2 linked regions of the Saccharomyces cerevisiae S288C genome follow. Changing the gene in region 2 together with the main gene of any one other region gives a genetic interaction. Each region holds a gene or a part of one and is shown on either strand. Other genes may lie near its edges.

What was found.
Region 1: of KRE1 (region 2) and CHS3, changing one enhances a phenotype caused by changing the other (phenotypic enhancement), as found in Saccharomyces cerevisiae (5 studies listed by BioGRID, with this or other methods).

Annotation. Positions count from the first base shown.
Region 1 is NC_001134.8:283,876-289,631, forward strand, and holds CHS3 (chitin synthase CHS3), read right to left. Parts: upstream 4,051-5,756; coding exon 553-4,050; downstream 1-552. Other genes in the region: POA1 (ADP-ribose 1''-phosphate phosphatase), read left to right, coding at 1-396; putative thioredoxin peroxidase SCO2, read left to right, coding at 5,570-5,756. UniProt on the Saccharomyces cerevisiae protein: Polymerizes chitin, a structural polymer of the cell wall and septum, by transferring the sugar moiety of UDP-GlcNAc to the non-reducing end of the growing chitin polymer.
Region 2 is NC_001146.8:32,755-36,167, forward strand, and holds KRE1 (Kre1p), read right to left. Parts: upstream 1,482-3,413; coding exon 540-1,481; downstream 1-539. Other genes in the region: LEM3 (Lem3p), read left to right, coding at 1-434; VNX1 (calcium/hydrogen antiporter), read left to right, coding at 1,942-3,413. UniProt on the Saccharomyces cerevisiae protein: Involved in a late stage of cell wall 1,6-beta-glucan synthesis and assembly.

The DNA.
Region 1 (5,756 bases), on a different chromosome or scaffold from region 2:
GAGAAAGATTACGTTGAAGTATGCGAAAAGTATGGTTCTAATTTACTAGGCAAATGCATATTACTTCCCAGTTACGAAAACTCAGATCTGCTGATTTGTTGCTTGTTTACATCATCATTTGGAGGTTCAAGTCATGGAGAAAAGCAAAGTATTTTGAATTATACAAAACTTGCTTTAGATAAATTGAAGACCTTTAGAGAAGCAAAAGACAAAACTCGAACAAGTGAAGATTCAATCGGTGACTATTTAAACGGCCACATCAAATACCCAATAGGGGAATATAAATTGGAAATGCCACAGATAAATAGTGGCATATTCGGAGTCCCTTGGAAAGAGACAGAACGCGTGTTAGAAGAATTTAGTGGCGACATGAGTTTTACAGTATATCAGCTGTAATTGCCTTAGCCACGTAATATGTGCCTTTAAAGATAGAGAAATATTTATTTATTAAGTTTTAGTTCTAAGGTGTGTTAAAATACCTCTCAAATAAATAAGTTACACACAACCATATATCAACTTGTAAGTATCACAGTAAAAATATTTTCATACTGTCTATGCAACGAAGGAGTCACTTTCCTCCTTCCGATTGAGAATATCTTCCCTTTCAAATTCCCTCCATGTCCTCATTTTAATCTTTGAGTGATCAAATTCACCTTCATTCTCGTCTTGTGCCTTTTTATTACCTCCCGCAATAGTTCTCGTATCACCCCATGAGAAGTCATCAAATTTCCAGTACGCATATGAAGGTAGTACGAAATTCCAAATAGGCAAAGCACAAATATATACGCACATCCACCATAGGTACGACCATCTCGTAGCAGTTATAACAACAATTAAGCCGGGCAGACCAAGAATAATTGCCAGTAAAACTAAAGTGATTACGGGTGTAGGTTTTGATACAATGGCAAAAATAATGACATAAATAGTAAAGCAAATGGCTAACGGCAGTACCATAGTACCAATCAATTCAATACCAATCACAAATTGCATGGAAAAACAGAAAGTGCCACATAAGTCTCTGATTAGAACTAATTCAAAAAGGTTATGTACCGTAGAATTAATCCATCTTCGACGCTGGGAAAGTAAGACTTTGAATTTATCAGGGGCAATAGTTTTACAAGCAGCTTTTGGAACAAATACTTGCTTTCTCTTAGGGAAAGTCTTTAACATTAATGAAGATAAAAATCTATCTTCACCAAGTAATAATAAGTTCTTCTTATGCAAAGTGTTTGTAACATTATCCGAATATCTTTCAACAATATCTGGATTTGCCAATACAGGTACCCAATAACCATCTGAACCTTTAGGAGATTTTATACGATACATTGAGAAACATCCCGGCAAACAAGTTACCGAACCGAAGACAGATTCAAAAGCTTTAGCCTGATGATGCGAAATATAGTACTCAAACACTTGAATTGCAGTTACCCAAGATTGTGCCTTATTAGCGATCTTGGTCTCACCACAAAGACCCATAATCAAAGGATCTTTAACCATTTCAGCGACCATATGAGTTAAAGCATCGGGAAAGACTTTAGTATCAGCATCAACCATAAGTACCGTTTCGTAGAAGTCTGCCATTAGCCCCGTAATCTGCCAAATATTTTTTAAAAGCTGAAATTCCAATTGAGTCATTCTTTCATCAAATGTTATTTTTTCTAAAAAGGACATCAGAATAATTTGAGAATCACGCTTACCTCTGTTACCGGGTTTGGCGGCCCCCTGCTCTGCAGGAGTACCGCACTTCACAATTGTAATGATTGGGACACGTTGTTGATTTTCTGGTGGAATTGTAGAATCGTCATATTTGTAAAAACCCGCATATATCTTGGCCATATTGTGTCTTTTAGAGCCTGATGCCACTGCCACATAGGAGTAAGGTTTAACTTCATCAGGTGGGGTGACAAAGTCGTCCATCATTCCTAACGCTATCTCTGGAGTAGTCTTATCGTTGCCCGAGCCCTTAATTAAACCATCACAAACAACCATCAGTAGTTTATGGGAATTTGGATAATCTGTGGTAGAAAGAGAGTCTAAAGTGGTTCTTAAACCCTCTTCATCCTCAGAATAACAAGTAACAAAACAGATAGTATGAATCAATGGGAACCCGTATGGCATAAAATCCAGTGGTGGTTGTTGAACGATATCGGGATGTATAATCGTCGAATCAAGACTCTGAATCAGCGATGATCCTGGTACAGGAGAGGAAGTCGCTTTATTCCAAAACATCGAGGATGTAGGCAACAAAGTAGATGGATTACGGGAATGTACAGCTTTGTTTTCATTCGAGAGTTTCCAAGCATTTTGAGTGGTCATTGTTGTCATTCCTCTGTATGAACCAGAAGATTGTAGTGAACTGCTCATGGAGGTGTCTAGATCTATCACAGATTCGTTAAATTGAAACATTTTGGAGCTGTGTTTTTTCAGCAAGTCAAAGGTTGAAGCACGCTTGTGTCCCAACGACTTTTTTGAGTATTTCTTTGGCCTCAAATGAGGATCTACTTCCTTTAGAGGAGCTTTTGTTTGAATATTATTAGACCAATCCTCGATATCGTTTGTGTGTTTATCCATTGTTTTATTGTCCACGATATATGCACCTTGTTTCCTAGCTACAGTCCAACGGAAGTAGCAGGCAATTATGAATTTAATTATCACCACTGAAAGAATAAATACCAGAGAAACATACAAAACGACATCAGAGGCAATACAACCGACGGTTTTGGAGTCTACTTCACCAACTTTAATAATTTCGCTCAAACATCTCGCAATTTTTCTTTCATGCCCATTTGACAAAACCAACGAAAGATCATAACCTTGTAAATTTGAAGTCTTCAAGTCATCGAATACAACGGGATAGTCAACGTCATCCTTTTCCAACCAATCAAGAAGATCTAAATCCAAAACGTCGCCATTATAAACAATCAAGTTTCTAGAAGAGTTCTTTATACCATCCCAAGTGAAGTAAACATCAGCTTTCGACTTTAAACCGTAAAATGCGTCCCTATCTTCTTTAGACGTATGACAGTTCCATCCTGCGTAATTTTCAACTGTGAAGTTTGGCTTCGAAGAGCCATCTTGATTCTTTAACTTACAAGGAAAATACCATGCTAAATTATTATCATCGTCATGGGGAATGGAAGAATTACTCTTTGGAGTTATAAGGTTATGACAGTTACCATTCACATTTTGAAACAAGAACGAAGCATCTTTACCAGCATCTGACCAGGGCCCATAAAGGGTGTCTGAATCTACTTCAACGTCTTGTATACCGGAACGCGAGGAAGTATCCAATTCATAAGCCTTACCGTTAATTACGACAAATTCTGTTGATACTTCGTTGTTTTTCAAACGTAGTTTCGAACTACTACAAACGGTTTTAGTGAAACCAAAAGTCAGGAAAGCCACAATCGCACCAATGTACAAGATGACAGAAATTAAAGCAACCTTTTCTCTCCACGCCATTTGTCTTTCCTTCTTTGGCATCCCGCAGAAAGCAAGAATTGGAGCAGGTGCCCAAAACGTAATGAAATAACAGTACATCTGCCAAAATGACAATGTATCATTCGTTTCCTTTCTTAATGGTTTGATAGACTTATTTATGGGCTGCGTGGAGCTTTCTTCGAAATTGTCCACATCACCATCTTTATCAAATTCGTCTTCCGCAACACCTTCATCACTTATTTTAACGGAAGCCTTCTTGTCAGTAGTATTCATATCTTGTAAAAGATAGCTATCCGTTTCGCGGCCACTAAATTTGCTTCTCACTGAGCCTTTGGAGCGCAGGGAGCCACTCCGACGAGTTGCATTTGGGTTTACACCGGTACTTGATGGTAAAACATCCAGGTGATTCATCTGCTCCTGCGTTTTCTGCGCATAATAAAAATGTGGATTATCAGGATTGTTCAGTCGGCTTCTTTCGGGCCGCACTAAAGAGCCTTGTCTATGAGGTGCTCCTGAGCCGACACTGTGTCTTGACCTAAGTAGAGACTCTTCATCTTGATTAAGGTTCAGATAGTAGTCATCAGGATCATCTCCATTCAAGCCGGTCATTCTAATTTCTTTCCTGCGGATAGTCTAAACAGGACCTTTGAAGAAAATGGGACCTACACCAAAAATACTCGAGAACTTTGCAAATCGGTAAACGTTTATAACCGTCTACCAATGTGATTCTTCTAGCAGGATTTACTACAAGTCGAAATGTTGGTACTGAATGTAAATCTGAAACACAGGAAAGAATATTTTTGATTTCTATTTTTATGCTCTTATTTTCATTTTTGATTTTTTTTTTCGAGGTCTGCGCCAGCGCCAATAACGCGTTTTATCCAAATAGGCAGCCAAAGAGGGTCACCTATGCAGGTGCTGAATGCAATACAACTGCGGGCTAACTGTCCATCGACGCTATTGAATATGCTTCAAGAAATATCCAGTCTCATGCACATGTCAAATATGTGGGTGAGGGCGCAAATACAACGCACGATTATATATACATTTGTGGCTACGTAGTACGTGCGGAGATAGGCAGGTATTTGTTCAAGGATGTAAATAAGAACTACAATGCTTAGTTCTCGAATCCTAGAATGTGAGTAAATCTCACAAGCACCGCTTCTATAAATTTGTCTAGGGTAATTTGTAATCTTTTCCCATGCGGATTCTCTTAAATACGGTACAGCCGTCGCTGCTGCGGTGTGATTCTGGTTTCATAGATCTGGAAAAAGAAAGCGAGACACAATACAAGAGCTTTGTGACACAGCGTACGGAGAGAATAAGATAAAGAACAGTTCCTGGCGTTTTTAATTGAACTTTTGTACTCGTCTCTTTATTCTCACGAATTTTTTTACCGCCGTTTTCATTTCCATTGCAAAGGAGGGAAAATATAAATGTTTTTATAGAGGCAGTATATCTTTAATTTCATAGCATATGCAGTTTAGAAAAAAGACGTAAATTCGTTGCCCTAGTCACGCTGGTTACATAAATTGGTCGTTGAATTGACTTTTAAGACATCCAGTTGGTGTGTTTGCTCCAAATAGTGCTGACGCATCTTGCCAATTCTCGTCAATTTAGCACGGAATGCTTGTTACTTATTCGATAACGCTTTTACCTTGATTGCATGTAGTCACTATCCTCAAACCTTTTCTAAGGTTGCCCTATTGGCGACAGAAAAGCAGGACGAGAAATCTAAATAACCAACGTGTGGTTTATTAACTATGACGGTTGGTTTGCTTGCCGCCCCAAGTTATAGAAGACTGCCCTTCATCCCGGGGTAGCTATCATAGAATCTGTCGATAGTTACAATTTTGGGTGGGGTGTTTTCAAAAATGGACGGATATGCCGGTCTTTGAAACTTCGATGATGTAGCCTATTGTTTTAATTTTCTGCTTGATCCTTTCGCTCTTTTTAGGGATAAAAAAGAAAACCTAACAAAGTATGAATTTCGAGAAGTCCCATCGATAGTAGTCAAACAATTGCTAAAGAGGGCTACGGATCGTCTACAATACCTTCGTAAAACAGCAGCTTACAGGATCTTTTATAATATCACCATAGAAAGGGGAATTTGGGAAGCGAGAGTAAAATGTTGAATAGTTCAAGAAAATATGCTTGTCGTTCCCTATTCAGACAAGCGAACGTCTCAATAAAAGGACTCTTTTATAATGGAGGCGCATATCGAAGAGGGTTTTCAACGGGATGTTGTTTGAGGAGTGATAACAAGGAAAGCCCAAGTGCAAGACAACCACTAGATAGGCTACAACTAGGTGATG
Region 2 (3,413 bases):
AAAGGTACAAAAAAACCAAATACAATTATACACAGATAGCACCTCCACCATATTGGGAAAAGATGTATCCAGATGGATACAACGAGACGAATATTCCTGATATTCAGGATTGGGAAGAGTTCCAAAACTGGATGAGGCCAGGTGCTTTTGATAAAATTACAAAACTGATCAGAATCAATAAAAACGATACTTTGCCAGCGGGTGAATACCAGTTGGATATCGGTCTGCATTGGCCAGTATTGGAGTTTAATGGTAAGAAGGGAATCTACTTGACTCACGGTTCTCACCTTGGCGGTAGAAATCCATTTTTAGGTATAGTTTACCTGATTGGAGGCTGTATTTGTGCTGCCATGGCATTGATATTATTAACGTTTTGGCTCTTCGGCGGTAGAAAGATTGCTGATGCATCAAGTTTGTCATGGAATATGAAATAGAAAAGGAGTGATGGTTTTCTTTATTTTTAACCCTGTAAAATTTTTTTATTTTTTTATTTTTACTCTTATATATGTATATGTTTGTGTTTATTTCTGAATAAAAATTTATAAGAACCAAATTAAAACCGTTAATAGCCCACCCAAAATTGAAGTAAACGAACTCATACCTAGATGCTGGGCCTCATTATGCGAAACTGTTTTCTTTATTGCAGATTTAATAACGCCTACAGTACCGGTTAAAGTACCCATCCCAATAGACCCCACGGAGGGAGAAGCGACTGTTACGTACTGGGAGGAGAAACGCTGGACAAAAGTAGTTTGCACAGTGATAGTGTTGCCCTGTCTAACAACAGTGACCCACATGGACGTTGGCGCACGTGTGGTTGTGTAAGTGGAGGTTGTACCTTCAGTGATGGTAATGTATGAGTCAATAGATAGACTAGTGACAGCAGACACAGGAGGTTCTGTGAAGTCTGTGGAGGGGTCTGGCCTGGTGCCTGTTTCAGCTACTGCGCTCCCTGTCGATGTGGTCGTCTTTACACTGGAGGATGAACCAGACGAAGATACAGACGAGGACACAGACGAGGAGGCGGATGAAGTAGCACTGGTGCTAGAATGTGTGAACGTTTGAGTCAATGTAACTGTGGTACCCAAATCGTTTGTCGTGGTAACTGTAGATAAATACAGTCCCGAAGACAACGATGAAGTTGCGGTAGGAACAGTGGTGGTTGTCTTACCAGTAGATGAGGTAGAAGTCGTCGTGGTTGGTAGCATAGTGGCTCTGTTGACTGTCTGAGTAAGAGTGACGGTGGTTCCGACATCGTTAGTGGTAGTGAATACCGTAGTGAAGAAACCTGTTTGAGCGGTAGTTGTAGCAGCAGCAGCAGCGGTGGCAGGGTCCCATATTGTGGTCTCCGTAACCAGGGCCCCTGCGACATTTGTTACCACTGTAACCTGAGTTGTCACAGCTGCCATGACCGCAGCTGACCACAACGACAAAGAAAGTAGCAGCGTAGCGAATGAATGTAATAGCGTGCGACGCATCATTTTTTTTTTGATTGTCTTGCAGAAGTTGAAGAGGTCTTTACTGTAGCATATACAAGTGCTTAATTCTTGATTTTTATTTTCTTTTTTTCATAATACACGTTATAGAAAAAGCCCCATTCTCAGTTTATGAAAAAACGCGATATCACCATACACGCTGAGGTAGGGGGATACAAGGTGAAGAATGTACGCAATAAGGCGAAGTATATGGCACAATTGAGCAGTAAAAGTGTTAAAATATAGTGATATATATATATAAAATACGAGAGTACCAACTATTATGATCTTTTAATGCCCTCTTTCCGTTGAGATATTCATAATAGTAACCGTCACGGAACTGTCGCTTTATACGGTGAGGGGATTATTTAGTTCCTAATTTATATTAGATAAAGAAGATAATAAACATGAGGGATGCTGTAAATGAAAGTGAAATAACTGCTAGCTAGAAGAGCGGTAAGCAGCAATGGCCAAAAATAACCACATTTCTGCCAGTGGTAACAGTACCTCTGGAGACCATCGTCTTAAAGAGGAGGTTCTGACCCCAACTACATCTGCCTCGACTCCTCATAGAATATTTAGCGTGGACGATGATCCAAAGGAGATCCAAAACGATATCAGGTATCTTGAGGGTCTGCATGAAGGGTTGAAGTTCGCCCTGCATGCCAATAAATCCAAGCGATCTGTAAGCTCGCAATCACCAATCGTACATAGCAGCAACAACACGCTGCACCACCACGAGCACCAACAACACTTGCCGCCCACACTAGAGTCGCTATCCTCCAAGTCGCACTCTGTGCCAGACTTAAATACAGCTACTCCCAGCTCTCCGAAACGAATGCATTCATCTATCCGGGAATTACCTCATGATGACAATGATGACGAGGACGCCAATGATGACAGTCGGTTCATTATACACGACTCGCACGGCCATGATTTACTTATAGACGAGATCAATTGCCAGTCGCCTTCACACTTGGAAAACAATGACCAGGCGTCTAATGCTTCGTCCACAGAGTCATTCACTTTACGAGAAAGACAGGACGCCATCAACGAGACCCACCCCTTCGGTATCAGGATATGGAAGCCTGCTTTATATAAGAAACACCGTTCAGTTCAAAGAACCGCGGCGCAAGACATTCACGAGACTCAGTTGAAGACTATTACCTGGGAGGTGACTTGTTCCAATGTGCTATGGTTTATTTTGTTCGGTTTCCCCATTGCGATACTCTTCTACTCGGCGGCTATTGTGGTATTTTTACTAGGCGGCGGAGGACTGGTAACGAACTCTGCGAAGGAGTACTCCAAGTGTCTGTATAAACTCGCCAATTATTTCCTTTGGCCTTTTGGCAAAATGGTATACTTGTTGCAGGACGAGCAATATTTACAAGAAGATAAGGATGAAGGTATTAGTATGCAGCAATTCTACAATTGGGTGACTTCATACTCCAACAGGCTGGTCTTCCACCAGTCTCAGGCCAAGTTTCAGCAAAGAGAGGACCATCCGGCCCCTGCAACGGAATCTTCGTCTTTGATGCCGCCCGCTAACACAACAGCAACACCGCTTAACTCGAACCATCCATCATATAATTCTATTAGACACGAAATTCCGCACGCAGCGGCTCAAAGACGGTACTTTGGGAGAGGAAAATGGAGCTGGGGTCGTGTTCTTTTCTATACAATCTTCCATCTCGTCTTGCAACCCATCCTTGCCGTCTTATCTCTTTGCCTCTGGCTCCTGGTGTTTACCATTCCCATGAGTAATGTTCTTTGGCAAATTATGTATCATTGCAGAAGACATCCGCTTGCATTAGGCTTCAAATATGTCGAGAACTCCTCCCAATCGCACGAAAATGAAATAACCCAGCAGCAATTGAACAAAAATATCCTCTTATGTACGTTCCGTGCCGCTGGCTGGCATTACTACAAGTACACAGT